Pelodiscus sinensis: one gene and its partner. The protein of the gene in region 2 interacts with the protein of the main gene of each other region in a biochemical or structural test. Links are inferred from orthologs where the notes say so. Each region holds a gene or a part of one and is shown on either strand. Other genes may lie near its edges.

What was found.
Region 1: the proteins of EIF2AK2 (region 2) and PRKRA form a complex in vitro, tested with the Homo sapiens proteins (3 studies listed by BioGRID and IntAct, with this or other methods). The link is inferred for Pelodiscus sinensis from reciprocal best matches to the Homo sapiens genes EIF2AK2 and PRKRA.

The regions. Positions count from the first base shown.
Region 1 is NC_134717.1:46,432,281-46,439,220, reverse strand, and holds the start of PRKRA (interferon-inducible double-stranded RNA-dependent protein kinase activator A), read left to right. Parts: upstream 1-3,878; 5' UTR 3,879-3,939; coding exon 3,940-4,193; exon of another isoform or gene 4,194-4,218; intron 4,219-4,277; exon of another isoform or gene 4,278-4,725; intron 4,726-5,150; coding exon of another isoform or gene 5,151-5,231; exon of another isoform or gene 5,232-5,597; intron 5,598-6,724; coding exon 6,725-6,894; intron 6,895-6,940. Other genes in the region: PJVK (pejvakin), read right to left, coding at 5,151-5,231. UniProt on the Homo sapiens protein: Activates EIF2AK2/PKR in the absence of double-stranded RNA (dsRNA), leading to phosphorylation of EIF2S1/EFI2-alpha and inhibition of translation and induction of apoptosis.
Region 2 is NC_134713.1:137,313,957-137,321,622, reverse strand, and holds the start of EIF2AK2 (interferon-induced, double-stranded RNA-activated protein kinase), read left to right. Parts: upstream 1-4,581; 5' UTR 4,582-4,813; intron 4,814-5,382; exon of another isoform or gene 5,383-5,480; intron 5,481-7,666. Other genes in the region: sulfotransferase 6B1-like, read left to right, coding at 404-534.

The sequences.
Region 1 (6,940 bases), on a different chromosome or scaffold from region 2:
CACCCAGCTTCTACAGTATATTGCTTTTACAGCTTCCCTTATGTCAACTAATCCTGCACAATGAATAATACATTAACTGTGTAAACTGATACAAAGATGTTTGCTTGATCTTTAGTAGTATAAGGCCATTATCTGAAAGTAAGATGATTGCTTTAGAATCAAAAGACTGCTACATTTTGCAATCTTTTTTGTTGTGATTGCAAAGACAGTGATATATTTGCTGTTTAATGTGCCTTTTATCCAGCTGGATCCCAAAGTGCATTACCAATGGGAATTCACCTGAACAGGCCACCTAAGCTACATAATTGTGTAAAGACTTAACACTTTTTTAAGGGAAGGAGACTTCTTTCAGTAGTGGCTGCATAATAGCTCTGTTAAAGACCTCAGCCTGGAATAAATACATTTCAGATTGTGAGCGCCTTTCTAAACTTTTTTAGCTGATGAGTAAATAGGACTTTGTCCAAATTTACTGTATGCTAGTGTCTCCATAGGGTGAGGGAAGTAGGGATTTTGCTGTGTTTTGTGGTTTCACTTCTGAAAGGGTTTACTTTGCTGATGTTTACTCTTTTCTGGCAGGTTGGTGTATTAGGGTCATGAGGGCTTGAAATTTATGTTTTCTGCATCAGAAAGGACATTATTGGGTTTTATTGCCTACATGATCAGGTGTGAATTTTGTTCTGTGAGTTTGATGGGAAAGGGGGAGAGGAACATAGCAGTATGTTACTTCATGGATGGTGGTGTGTGTCTGTGGAGAGGAGAAGGAAGGTTGATTGATCTTGTCAGCATTTGGTAGGAGTGACATATCAAGGTACAATCCCGACTAATGATTGGCTATGTCATCCCTTTCCTATAACCTGGGATGCCCTTTACAATGTAGACTCCAAACTGGACTGGTCACCACCAGTATGTAAATCACTCCCAGCTATGTCTGAATGAGTGCTGCAGATAGACAGTCAAGCTTTGGCTCTTACTGATTTAGTTTTGCTGTGGAGCATGATGGGCAACCTAGTTCTATGTGTGGTCCACAATACATTTTGTTTACCACTGCCTAAGTGTGGAGTTACCAGATTCCACTAGTTTCCGTTCATGTAAGCTTTTTCCTAACAATATTAAAGTGACATGTATGTAAAGCAAAAGCACATGAAGTGAGGTGTGTGCTGAATGCATACACATTGACTGTGACAGCCATATGTTCCCTCTGCATCCAAAGTGCTATTATGGTTCAAACTGCACACCCACAAATTCTAGGTACAGAAGAGCAGTTAGCAAAACTACCCTACTCCAGGAAACCATCATGGTTACAACAATCTTGCAACCCATTCACTTGTCTAGGTCACCAAGCACTGCTGCAGGGTGACAGCACATACAGTCTCAGTCCTAGATTTTCCTCCAGAAATGTATGTACTGTACTGCACAGCCCTCTCTTGAGCAGTACAAATATACTGAGTCATTATTCCTTTAAGGCAGGGGTCTCCAAACTTTTCAGCCCGAGGGCCGCATTAACTATCAAACAGCAGTTCGGGGGCCGACTACACACTTGAGGTCCAAATAAAAAACAATCAAAACATGGATGTTGTTTTTAATTATTTATTTAATATTATTTTATTCAGTTATTATTTAATAACACATTGATACACTACACATGAACACCTGTATTAGTGTGAATGGTGAAATTGTTTCCTGGATGCCAAAATAGCACACATTTCTGGCTTTAGATTTGTTGTCCCTAACATCAACAGTGACCTGAGATTATCATCGGACAAGTTTGTTCTCAAATTGTTCTTCACATATTTCAGACGTGGGGAACTCAGCTGTTGCTTCAGCCATGAAGACCTTGCACTGCTGAAAGTGCGTCAAGTTGTTGGCCTGTACTTGTTCCAAAAACAAATTAGCAGCATGCCAGGCACATGCTATGGGGCACTGCATTAATGCACTGGGGAAAACTCACCCTTCAGGCCAGCGAGAAGAAATCCAGAGAGTGAGAAAAATACTTAAAAGGAGCAAGGGACAAATGAAGCATTAAAAATTAACATTTTTCCTCACCTAGAAGCTGATTTTAGGCACTAGATCTGGTGTTTTAGGAGAGATCTGAAAGAATTTAATATCGATTTAAATCAGGGGTCACCTTTTTAAAGTTCCCGCGGGGGTTCACGTTCCCCCGCACGTCGCCGGGCGGGCGTTACCACCACCGCCCATCCTGCCCCCTGATTGGCCGGCTGCCCTGTCAGTCTGGGCGGGGGAATGCTGCCCGTGCTAACCCCCGCCCCTGCGCCGTTTGCCGCCGCGCGGCCGCTTGTCATTGGAGCGGCCCGCTTCTCCTGCCCCGGCGCGGCGTGAGTACACGCCGCACACCCCTGACAGGGCCCCCCCCCACCGCGGCAAGAAGGGCCCGTTCGGCGGCGCCCCAGGGACGGTCTCCACGGGCCGGATGAGAGGGCCTCGCGGGCCGCATCCGGCCCGCGGGCCGTAGTTTGGAGACCCCTGCTTTAAGGGACTAATATGCACACAACTGAGTTACCTGGACACTTCAGCTTGAACACACTGGATTTGATACAAAACCTTTATTGACTAAAAAGAGAGAGCTTTCAAGTGAATACAAGTAATGAGCCATAGAAATAAAAAAAAATGGTTACAAGAAAAATAAAGGTAAAGTGCTAACATAACTACATTTGATTCAAAGGAAAAGTTTTCTTACCACATGCTTTCAGTCTTAGATCAGGTCACAGACCCTGGCCTATTGTATACAATAGCTGATGCTTTTGTTTCCTTAGGTGCACAGTGGCTACACTCCCAGGCCCGAGCTCTCTCCTCATGTCCTCTTCCCGGACTCCTGCACTCCAGGGCTGGCCCACAACATTTTGGCACATGAAGCGGGTAGCTCAAAAGACACCCCCATGTAGGGTTGCCAGGTGTCCGCTATTCTACCAATCTGGTTTTTGTGTCCTCTGTCTGGTAAAAAAAATTCAGAAAATACTAGACATGTGCAATGCCCGATATTTTGTTTTTCTGGCCGGGTGCTGGACGGAAGCCTGGCAGGGGCAGAGGAGTGGCTGGGAGGCAGAGCTGCGATTGGGGCTGGAAGCCTGTGGTAGCGTGCAAAAACCTGGTGGGGACGGGGGTAGCTGAGACTCCCACACACTCCCGCGGCCTAGCTTCTACACTCAACCAGAGGGAGTCCCAGGCTGGGAAGCGGGGCTCTGATTGGTGCTGGGAGCCTTTGTTTGCGTGCAGAAACCAGGCGGGGGGTGGGGAGAGTGGCTGGGAGGCGGGGGTGCAATTGGCCCTGGGAGCCCTCAGCTGAATGCCTCTGAGGAGGAGTGATGTCTTGAGGAGAAGCTCTGTCCCTGCTCCTGAGCGCTGTTCAAGCACGTTGTAGCGCTGTAGTCCAGGAGAGAAGCCCACAGGTGCTTTGTAGTTGAGTTTAGGTGCCTTTCGTGGGTGCTCAGCCAAAACTGACTGGGGTGGAATTTCTGCTTCTTTCCACTGGGACACCCAATTTTTAGCTGGTGCTGTTCGGTATTTTTTAGGAGACCATCTGGTAACCCTACCCCCAGGTCCCCTCCCTTGGGCCAGCAGCAGACACAATTTTCTACACTCTGGGTCCTAGTGGTGCCCCCCCCCCCGGCACCTGCCGCAGCCACCACAGTTCGCCTCATGGTAAGGCCAGCCCTGCTACAGCCCCTCCACACTCCTGCCCTGAGCCCCTGCCCCTCACACCTCTCAAGCCCTGGCGCTGACTCCCTGCACCCCGGTATCCCCCTCCCCGCACTCCAGCCCACACTTCAGTGTCTTACAGGTACTGTCTTATTACAACCCTCCCGCGCCTGCCCGGACCGCTCCCCCCAGGGCGGGCTGCAATGGCTGCAAGAAATGGGGGCTCCCTTGGCGGGGGCGGCTTGTGCATCACTCCCCGGCCAGCCTGGGCCCACAGGCTGCGTAATGCGGGGAGCTGGCCCCTCACGGAGCGCTCAGCGCAATGGGCGGGGGGGCCGCAGCGGCAGGCGGGGGAGGCCCCCCCCCGCACCACGCGCCGACGCGGCCCCGCCCACAGCACAGGCCGCGGCGAGGCGCTCGGCGGGCGCGGTGGCGGTAGCGGAGGTGGAGGCGGCCGGCCCGGCCATGTCTCAGGAGACCTTCCCGTTCCCGGCCGCGACCCAGCAGAGCCCGGCGGCGGCGCAGGACCAGGCCCGCAGGTCAGGGCGCAGTGGGGCATTGTGGGTAATTAGGGGCCCTTCTCCCGGTGCGCGGGCGGCCGCGGCCACCAACTGCTGGTGGGGGGGGAGAGGCTGGAGCGAGCCCCCGCCCTGTTACCACTGGGGCTGGCCCGGGCCGTCACCTCGCAGCGGGCGGGGAAAGCGCTGCTCCCCTCCGCCCGGGAGAGCGGCTCACCGGCTGCGCCCCGCCCTCCGGCCTGGTCTCCCAGAGTCTCGGCGGCCGGCGCGGGGCCTCGGCCTGGGTCTTAGCCCCGACTCCCGGGGGCTGCCAGTGTAGCTGCCGCCGGTGCGCCTCTGGCCCTGCCCCTCAGCAACCCGGAGCCCCTTTGCGGATCCCTCCCCGCTCTCTGCGGAGCTGACGCCTGTAGCCGTTGTGAACAGGGCTCAGCGTCCCTGCCCAGGGGGAACGTGAGAGCTGAGACAGGGCCCGGGGCTTCCACGCACCTTGTTCAGGGCAAAGCAGCAGGGGCAGACTGATCGGTGCAGTGACAGTCAATCACCCCCCTGGCAAGTAAGAGCCTGATCCTCCAAAGCACTTGGTGCCCCGCAGCCCAGCTTCGCAAACGGAGCCATAGGACAATTTGACAAAAGCGCAGGAGCTTGTGTCATGATACTTCCAACAGCAACATAGTTAGTTGCTTAGTTTAATTAATACAGGGAGGGGAAAAGGAAATCTAGTACATGTTCCAAGCCAGACAAAGATAATGTTTGTATGCCATGATCCTACAAACTCACCTTTGACTTTAAGCATGTGAGTAGCCCCACCTAAAACACCAGTTCCTGAAATAGCTAACACGGCTATATTTCTATCACTGAAATAGCTAGGTGTGTGTTGGAGAGAAGCTATCCAGACACTGTTTACTTTTGTACCTGCTGAGTTTGAGAGAGATTGAATTTGCACACATTATAGAACTGTTGCCTTCAGATATTTCTCACCAATGATTGTTTCTTTGCTGTGGAGAAGTAGTGAATACTTTCTGTATCTGTATCACTTGTCCATGTTGTAACTGAAGCCATTCCCAGTTGTCATGGTGATCAGAAGAAAGCAACAATAGCTTGGAATGTTATTTGGAAAATGTATTCTTTCCCCCATTCCTATCAACCTGTGGAAAAGTTGCCTCTAAAGCAGCATGCAGCTTCCACCAGACTTGAAAAACATATTCTTTGTCCCCATTCCCCTTAATTGCCAGTACAGGCTTTCAGTATCAGATAATTTTTCTTTTATCAGTTAGTGAGATCAGTTTGATTTTTTTTCATAACTTAAGTGGAGGATGACAAGTTGTCTTGAAACACAGATGATAAGACTTCTCTTCATGAGGAGGTGATTCAACATCAGTGCAATTCAGTAGCAGCCAAAACTAACTCAGGGCGCGTCTACACAGCACCTTTAGCTGGAAATAAGTTATGCAATTTCTGCTACGCAAATTGCAGAGCTTATTTCGAGTGTATTTCTAAATTAATTGTGTTGTTACTGCCTGAGCTACCTGTTTTTCCTCTAATTATGGAAGTTCTCAAATGGAGAGTCATGCAACCTCATGGAGTTGCAAGTATGTTATGTGGGGGGTTGCAAATACATATCTCCCAGCTAGCTAACATGTCTGCTGTGAAAAGTGATATTAACATGCAACTATTACTTTAAAATAGTGTAAAATATAAAAAAGTCTTAATTTTTAAGTGTGTGTGTTTTGGGGGGAGGGGAAGAGTCACACTGAGGCTTGCTATGTGAAAGGATTGCCAATAAATACATAAAATTTGACAACCATTGCAATCTTTTCCCATTCTCTGCTGCAGCTATAATACTCTTCCTTTCTTACTGTTTTAAGGGCAACATACCCACCTCTAGAGCCTCTTATTGGGCATTTTGAAACAAGGTTAAGCTCAGACTTCTGCCTAGCCATTGAAAGTTTATTTTTACAGTAGCTAGAGCTGGTAAAAAAAGATGCAAAAGTGGCAAGGAGTCCTGTGGCACCTTGTAGACTAACTGAAGTATTGGAGCATAAGCTTTTGTGGGCAAAGACCCACTTCGTCAGATGCATGTAGTGGAAATTTCCAGAGGTTACATGCATCTGACGAAGTGGGTCTTTGCCCACGAAAGCTTATGCTCCAACACTTCAGTTAGTCTATAAGGTGCCACAGGACTCCTCGCCACTTTTGCAGGTTCAGACTAACACGGCTACCCCTCTGATTAAAAAAAAGATGGAAATTTGAGAGATAATATTGGCCTAGTGAGAAGGGTGCTGCATTGTGTTCTAAGCATGCTATACCATGGGCTCTTGGATAAGTACTATGCATCCCTATATCTTTGTCTCCCCACCACAACGTAATGATGCCTTCCCCTTTTTTGTAAAATGCTTGTAGATCTGTGGATGAAAAGTACCATAGGAGCCAATATTAAAATTTCTTGAAAGTGTTGGTAACAGTAGTGAAACAGGGAACAGCGATTCCCATTTTTTAAAAATCAGCTCTAAATACAGATTTCCCTTCTAAAATGATAAATCTTTTCTTTGTAGCTTGGAGGAAATGATTGTTGCAAAACCAGGGAAAACACCAATTGAGTTGTTACATGAATATGGCACGAAGTGTGGTATCACTCCTGAGTACGAGTTTGAAAAGGCTGAAGGACAAGTACATCTTCCAAGTTTCACCTTTAAAGTTACAGTAGGTGACATAACGGGCACAGGTCTGTAATGTTGCTATACTTTGGTATGGTTGTTGGTAGTGGTTTC
Region 2 (7,666 bases):
TCCACAGGTTGGGGAGAGTGGCTGGCCGTGGTTGCCCGCGGTGGGGATGGGTGTGGCCAGGGGATGGAGAGCCCACAAGCTGCACAGCTCGCAAGAAAAAGCAGCAAGTTGAAGCAGTAGAGCATTGCTTCTCTCTGGCAGCTGGCTGCATGGCTGTGCTGCCCCCTTCTCCTGAGTCCTCCCACCCCTGTAATGTTGCATTGCTGTTGGCTGCCATTTGGTGAGTGGCTGCTTCCCATGGGCATGGGGGAGAGCGGCTGGAGGATGGAGAGCCTGGGGTGGAGGACTGGTCAAGTGGCCAATGGACCCGGGTTCCCCCCCTCCACACACACCTTCAGGTGGATAAGTTTAATAAGGACCCTTCACCTGTGATGTTATAATTTATTTCATTGTTCATGTGCAGGTGGCATTGGAGATTGGAAGAACCTCTTTACTGAAGCTCAGAGCCAGAAAATGGATGCCAAATTTGAAGAGTGTTCAGCGGGAACTGAACTGGGAGCAAAGCTAAAATATGATAAATACTGCAAATACTAAATCTTAACTTCGTTCTGATGCTACATTATCACGTATTTCATTGCCTTTCACATTTGGGAATGCATAGATTCAAATGATTTAGACTTTCACAAATGAATTTGCAAAATAAAGAAATAATGAGAACTCAGTAAATAATGGGCCAAATTCTGCTATTAGGCCTATATAGACGTGACAGAAGCATTTAGCTGAATATGTAGAACATATGACTAGTATATCAAAGTTTCTGTGCCTATTTGAGATTTTTTTTTCTTAATCTGCCATTATTTCAAACTGAGCTCTGCTCTAGATCCAAACTTTCTGAATGCTCTGGGTGTTAAACACCTTGAACATTTTTTTGGATGATCAGCTTCAGTAGTTAATTTGGTCCTAAACACATCCTATGTTTTCTGTGGCCTTGTATGAAATTCCTTTAAGGTATGTCTACACAGCAGTGTTACTTTGGAATAACTGACGTTATTTTGAAATAACAAAGTGTGCATCTACACCGCAATCTGTTATTTTGAAATAATTTTGAGATGGAAGACTTCTTATTCTGAGTCCTGTAATCCTCATTTCACAAGGAGTAAGGGAAGTCAACAGAAAAGTGTTCTTCCTTTGACTTCCTGCTGTGTAGACAGAGCCAAAAGCCAAATTAAGCTATTTCGACTTCAGCTACGCAATTGACACAGCTGAAGTTGCGTATGTTAATTTGACTTTTGCCCTGCACTGTAGACATGCCCTTAGAGTTCATTGATTTGAGCTGATGGTCAGTATTCATCCTGGCAAAAGGTTAAGGCAGAGTGTCTTCGGGTTTTGTCTGGTGTTGTTTAATATGATTATTGCTGACAAAAAAGGGAGGTGAATGAGGTAGCAAAAGTTGCCAATTGAAGTAAGGTGTTGATGTTAGTCATGTTAGGAACATGAAGCGATCTCAACAAGCTAGAGAAAAAAACCTCTCCTTTCCCTGATGGTAGAATATAACTATGGAGTAATTTTTAAAAAGCTGTTGAAAGAAGGCCCTGGTCATACCTGACTGATGCTTCTGCAACTATAGAGACTGTTATGGAGTCACCTCATTCTGAAGAGGGCTCTGGGCACAATACTTTAGCTGGTAAGAGATGTAAATGGGAGAGGTCTGGGTATGAAAATAGTGTTGATATTCGATAAAAATAGTGAGTAGAAGTCCTATGTCAGAAGCACATCTAGTGGTGAAGGAAAAGGGGGAAAAACATTTCCAGCCATCTTTGAGGCTCTCTCTTATAGGAGTTCTAGGGATGCAGCAGCACCCACTGGCTGAATGTGGTTTACATCATATACAGGGTTTATGTTTTTTTTCATTGGTTTTCAGCACTCGCCCACGCTATACAAATTGTTAGAGAGTTACTGCTCTAATATCAAAGGGTCTCAGGAGTGTTACACAAATAAATTAGCAATAGCTTTAGGGGGCAGTCGAGTTAGTCTATAACTGGAAAAACATGCAATGTTTTGTCATCTCTGTGTGTTGGTACCAGTGATGTTTGCCTGTGTACTGCTACCCTCTGCTGGACAGAAACAGAACTACCATGTGTGACTACTGCTAAATCAAAAAACAAGACTATGTAGCACTTTAAAGACTAACAAGATCATTTATTAGGTGATGAGCTTTCGTGGGCCAGACCCACTTCCTCAGATCAAATAGTGGAAGAAAATTGTCACAATGGTTTATTAGGTGATGAGCTTTCGTGGGCCAGACCCACTTCCTCAGATCAAATAGTGGAAGAAAATTGTCACAATTGTGACAATTTTCTTCCACTATTTGATCTGAGGAAGTGGGTCTGGCCCACGAAAGCTCATCACCTAATAACCATCTTGTTAGTCTTTAAAGTGCTACATAGTTCGGTTTTTTGATTCAGCTACACCAGACTAACACGGCTACATTTCTATCACTGACTACTGCTAGTTTCTCAAATTCTAAAACTAAAATGTGTAGCAATGGACCAAACTTAGCATTCTGTCTCCTGGGAGTGGGGGCTGGGACTGCATGTCCTGGCTGGTGGCTTCTCCCATGGACTGGGGCTGCAGTCCCCAGCTGGTTGCAACCTTCAGCTTGTCTGGGGAGATGCTGGGGTTCCACAGGATGGTCCCAGCCTCCGGCTCCCCCCTACCTCCATGCTGTCTGGGGGGAAGGCTGGCCTCAGCTTCCAGCTGTCCCCCCTCACACACCCTCCAATGGGGGGGAGGACTAGGCTGCAGTCTCCTCAAAGGAGGGGACTGAGCCACTGTTTTCTGCTTCTCCTTGGGAGAGGATGTCTCTTCTGGGGGGTCATGTTAGGTTAAGTTTAAGAGTTATTTCGAAAGAAGGGTTTTCTTTAAAAATAACTGCGTCTAGACAGCGTTTCTTTTTTCAAAATAGGGTATTTTGAAATAGTGCCCGGACGCAATTATGCAAATGAAGCGTGGGAAATTCAAATCCACACTTCATTTGTAATTTCATTCATCTGCATTTGCATTCCTCTCTCGAAAGAGGAATGCAGTGTAGACATACCCTACTCAAGCCTAGGAGGGAGTGTGACTTGATGCCACCCTTTGCCTGGAGAAGCAGGACAAAGGCTGGAAGTGGGGCCAGCTGCAGGGCTGATAGAGGCTGTTGAGTGCAAAAGTTGGACTTGCTGGCTTGGGGTGCAGAGATGGGGGTGAGGGCCCTTGCTGGCTTGGGATGCAGAGATGGGATGAGGGACTCTGAGCACCCTGTCCCCAAGATGGATTGTACTGACTGCTTCTGGTTTCCGTGCTGACAAGTCTGTTCTATGCTGTATCTCTGTCAACTAATAAACCTTTCGTTCTGTGGGCTGGCTGAATCACATCTGACTGTGGATGAGGGGGAGCAGGGCCCCAATGACTTTCCTCTCCTCAGTGACATTTGCATACCAAATTTGGTGGCCCTAGCTCTTGTCATTTAGGAGTTCTTGAACAAATTGACTCACAGATGGACGGACTCACAAACAGACTCATAAAAGCTCTAACATATATAGATAGGCAGGTTTAATCTTAAGGGACCCTCTTCCTACACACATACTATGAATGGGAGATATAGGAGAGTGTTGCTCTTGGCTGCTGTGCCCATCCATTTTGAACACATCTTCTCGTCACCATTTTTACAGACGTTAGCGAACTTTCTCATCCTTCATTCCTTAATGTAAGTATGGCAACTCTAATATTTGATTAACTTCGCTGACATTTGTCAAACTAGGCTTACCCAGCATTTCCTGGGTCTTTCAGGGCAGAAGGCTGGCAGTGCGGGGAGTGTGGCAATTGGGGAAGTGCCCTGAGTATGTGGGGGGCTCAGGGCAGGAAGGCAGAGGTGAGGGGTGCAGGAGTCAGGGTGGGGGCTTGAGGAGGAGTTCAGGCAGAGGGTTTGGGATGCGTGAGGTGCCAGAGTGAGGGTGAGGCGGACAGAGGTGGGGATGCAGGAATCAGGGCATGGGGTTGGGAGAAGGGTGAGCTGAGGGGAGTAGGAGGGCTCAGGGCAGAAGAATGCAGGTGGCTGGCTTCTCCCCAGGGGGGCGGGCTGGGCTGGCAGGGACAGTACATCGTGCCGCCAACCTGTCCATGGGACAGGAGGGGGCTGCACACCCCGTCCTCCTGCTTCTCTGCAGACTAGCGGGGGGGAGGGGAGCGCACCCCATCCATCGACTTGTCCTGGGTGCGTGAGGGGGAGGCACCATCCTGCTTGCTGGTTTATTCCTGGGGGCTGGGAGAGGAGGCAGCAGGTTTTCGCCCTATCTCCTTCCCCAGCCTGGGTAGCCCGCAGGGGACTTTCCCCCTCTCCTCTGCTCCTTCTGGGGTGGGGGTGGAGGGAGAGCCGGCGGCGGGAGTGGGGGTGGGAGTGGGGCTTGCGGGCGCTCAGAAGAAAAAGGCTAAAGGAAGAAGGGCGGGCGCTGGGCCCGGAGAGAAGCGGAGTCAGAGCAGGGAGAAGCAGGCGGCTGAATTTGGGGGCTTGAGGGGGGGAACCGAGGAGCCCTGGGCCCGGCTGCTCCGTGAAAGGGGAAGGCGGGGCGAGGCTGGGCTCGGGCTGCCTAGGAGGGGCCGCCCCAGCCCGCCTCCCCTGCTGGCCCGCGGGGCTCCAGCCACCCGAGGAGCAGCCGGGCCCGCGGGCGGCGGCGCCTGCTTTTGGTTTCGATTCCGGCGCGGAGCCGGAGTGGGAGGAGCGAGGCGGCCCGGGGAAGCCGCCGCGAGGAAACGAAACAGACGGGGCTGAGCTGCCGCCACTTCCAGTCCCTTGCCGCAGTGAGCGCGGGCCGGCCGGGGTGCTGCGCGGCTGGTGAGTGGCCGGGCCGGCGGGAGGGCTCGAGGCGGTGCAAGCTCAGAGGGAGGCCCCGAGGGTGGGGTGGGGGCGAGTGACCCTCAGCCGGGCAGGCTCCTGCAAAGGGTCGAGGGGTGTGTGTGTCGATGACCTTGGTGTTGGCCCGCGCCGCTGTGCTGGTCCCTGCGGACCCAGACTGGAGAGGGAGGCTGGGGGCAGGGGTAGGAGGCGGGGATGAGGTAGGGTGCGCTAGTGCTGGGTCTTTTCCTCTTCTTCCCAGAGCCCCCTCTGGGCTCTAGGACGCAGAGTGTGAATTGGAACAGGCTGGAGCTTGACCCACACAGCCAGGGTTGGGGTGATCACGATCTGGGCTTCTGGTCCTGTTCTGTATTGTATATATGGATATGCTAAACCTGGCATTGCTATCTCTGGAAACTGAAAAAAGCCAAAGAGCGGACTTAGCATTATACTTGGCATCCCAGACTGCAGCTGTGTGACAACATGCCCAGGAAATAGGAGCAGTGCTGGGGACTACCCGGAAGTCACCTGTCAAGGGAAGGTGCTAGTGACTTCTGTTCCCCTTACAGGTGCAAAGTATAAGTCCCAGGACAGTGGCCAGCAGCCCTCTGAGTAGAAGTGAATGCAGTTATTGCTTTGGAAGTGACAAACTGCGGGGAAAGGAGAGGTATGCTTACAATTCATATCTCTGAAATACAGGCCAATAGGTACCCATTCACAACAATGGATTTGAAGTCCTGCAGTTTTGAAAAGTTTATAATATTGAAAAAGTCATTTCTACATCCAAGGGAGTACAGGGAGGGAGAAAACAATTTGGATATATAGTTACTAGAAGACTTCCCGGATGTTGCCTGAGTCTTTCAGGGCAGGGGGTTGGCAGTGTGGGCCTGGTAGGGGCTTTTGCCCTCTCGGGGGCGGAAGCCTGACGGGGTCTTTTGCCCTGTCCCCAACCCCTCCTGGGGCTCAAAGGGGGAGCTCAGCAGGGGCTTTTGCCCAGTTTCTCCCTGGGCACCAGGGAGAGCCTGGATGGGGGCTTTTGCCCTGCTCCCAATCTCTCTGGAGCTATCGAGGGGGGCTGGCTGCGGCAGTCTCCCACTTACCTGGAGCAGTGGCAGGCAAGATGATGAGCCCTGTCACCAGCTAGCCACTCATAGCAATGGTACAGCTGCTTGCAGTGATCATTCTACAATATGGCTCTCCCCTGTGCTCTATATCAGAGGAAGCAGTTTGGGGGAGCAGATGGAAGCTGGTGCTCATGGAGAGCCAGCTTTTCAGAGCCGCACCTCCCCTCCCCACAGGTAAACATGTAACCACTGAAAAATTTCAGCAGTTACATGTTTACAAAAGAATGTACTTTTTATCATTCCTACTACTGACACATTATTCAAAATTTGCTCACTCTATATTTTGATTACAAATATTTGCATTGTAAAATAAACAAAATAAACTGTATTTTTAGTTCACTTTATACAAGTACGGTAATGCGATCCCTACAGTCAAAACCAAAACAATGTAAAACTTAAAGTCTACAGGTCCACTCAGTCCTACTTATTGTTCATCCAATCACTAAGACTAACTTGTTTGTTTACATTTATGGGAGATAATGCTGCTCTCTTCTTATTTACAATGTCACCTGAAAGTGAGAAAAGGCATTCCTATGGCACTGTTGTAGCTGGTATTGCAAAATGCCATATATGCTAAACATTTGTATCCCCCTTCGTGCTTCTGACACAGTTCCTGAGGACATGCTTCCATGCTGACAATGGGTTTTGCTTGATAATGCTCCAAAGCACTGTGGACTGACACACGTTCATTTTTGTCATCAGAGTCAGAAGCTGTCAGCAGAAGATTGGTTTTATTTTTTGGTGATTTAGGTGCTGAAGTTTCAGAATAAAAATGTTGCTTTTTTAAAGACTTTAGACCACATGTTTCACACCTTGTCCCACTCAGATTTTGGAAGGCACTTCAGATTCTTAAACTTTGATTCGACTATTGTAGCCATCTTTTAATATCTCATATTGGTTCCTTCTTTGGCATGACATACAATTCTCCCCCCAAGGAGTTCAGTCACAAATTTAATGAATGCATTTTTTTTAAACAAGAGTCATCAGCAGGAATGGTGGTCAAAGAATGAAGAAGCATAAGAATGTTTTAGCAAGATCCACAAGACACCAGAGGAACAAGGGATGCACTCCACCCAGGTGCTTCACCAGAATGGACTCTGGTTCTGTAGCCTTGTGGTTCTGTATTCCCAGGACTACGTATTCTCTGCTGCTTTAAAAAATTCACATACCTCAAGCTGGGACAATGCTGGTTACGTATGCTATGTATCTCACGAACTGTGTAAACCTATTCTTATAACTTCCCATAATCTAAGCTTGACCCCAGATGTATAGTGCTTTCCTTCTTAATTAGTGTGATGTGAACTTTATTTGAAACAGTAGCTTTAATGAAATTTTTCTGTCTGGCATGTAAATAGCTTGCAACACTGGCTACTAAAGTATCAGAGAAATGTGTGTACTCACTTTCAAGTGACATTGTAAACCCTAAGTGGATAGCATTATTGCCAGTGAATGTAAACAGATTAGCTTGTTTTACCAATTAGCTCAGGAAGAGTGGGATTGAGAGAACCTACAAGTCCAAAAGTTTTACATTGTTTTGTTTGAGTGCACTTATACAATAAAACACACTGTACACTTTTTATTTGTTGTTTTCCTGGCTTTTTGTTTGCTACTTTACTTAAAAAAACCCCCTTATAATATATTTCCCCAAATTACTAGAATTATCTCAATTCAGATTCCTAAATCTGTTACTCCAGTGAAAACTAAAATCTTCAAGAAACATGTAAAAGTC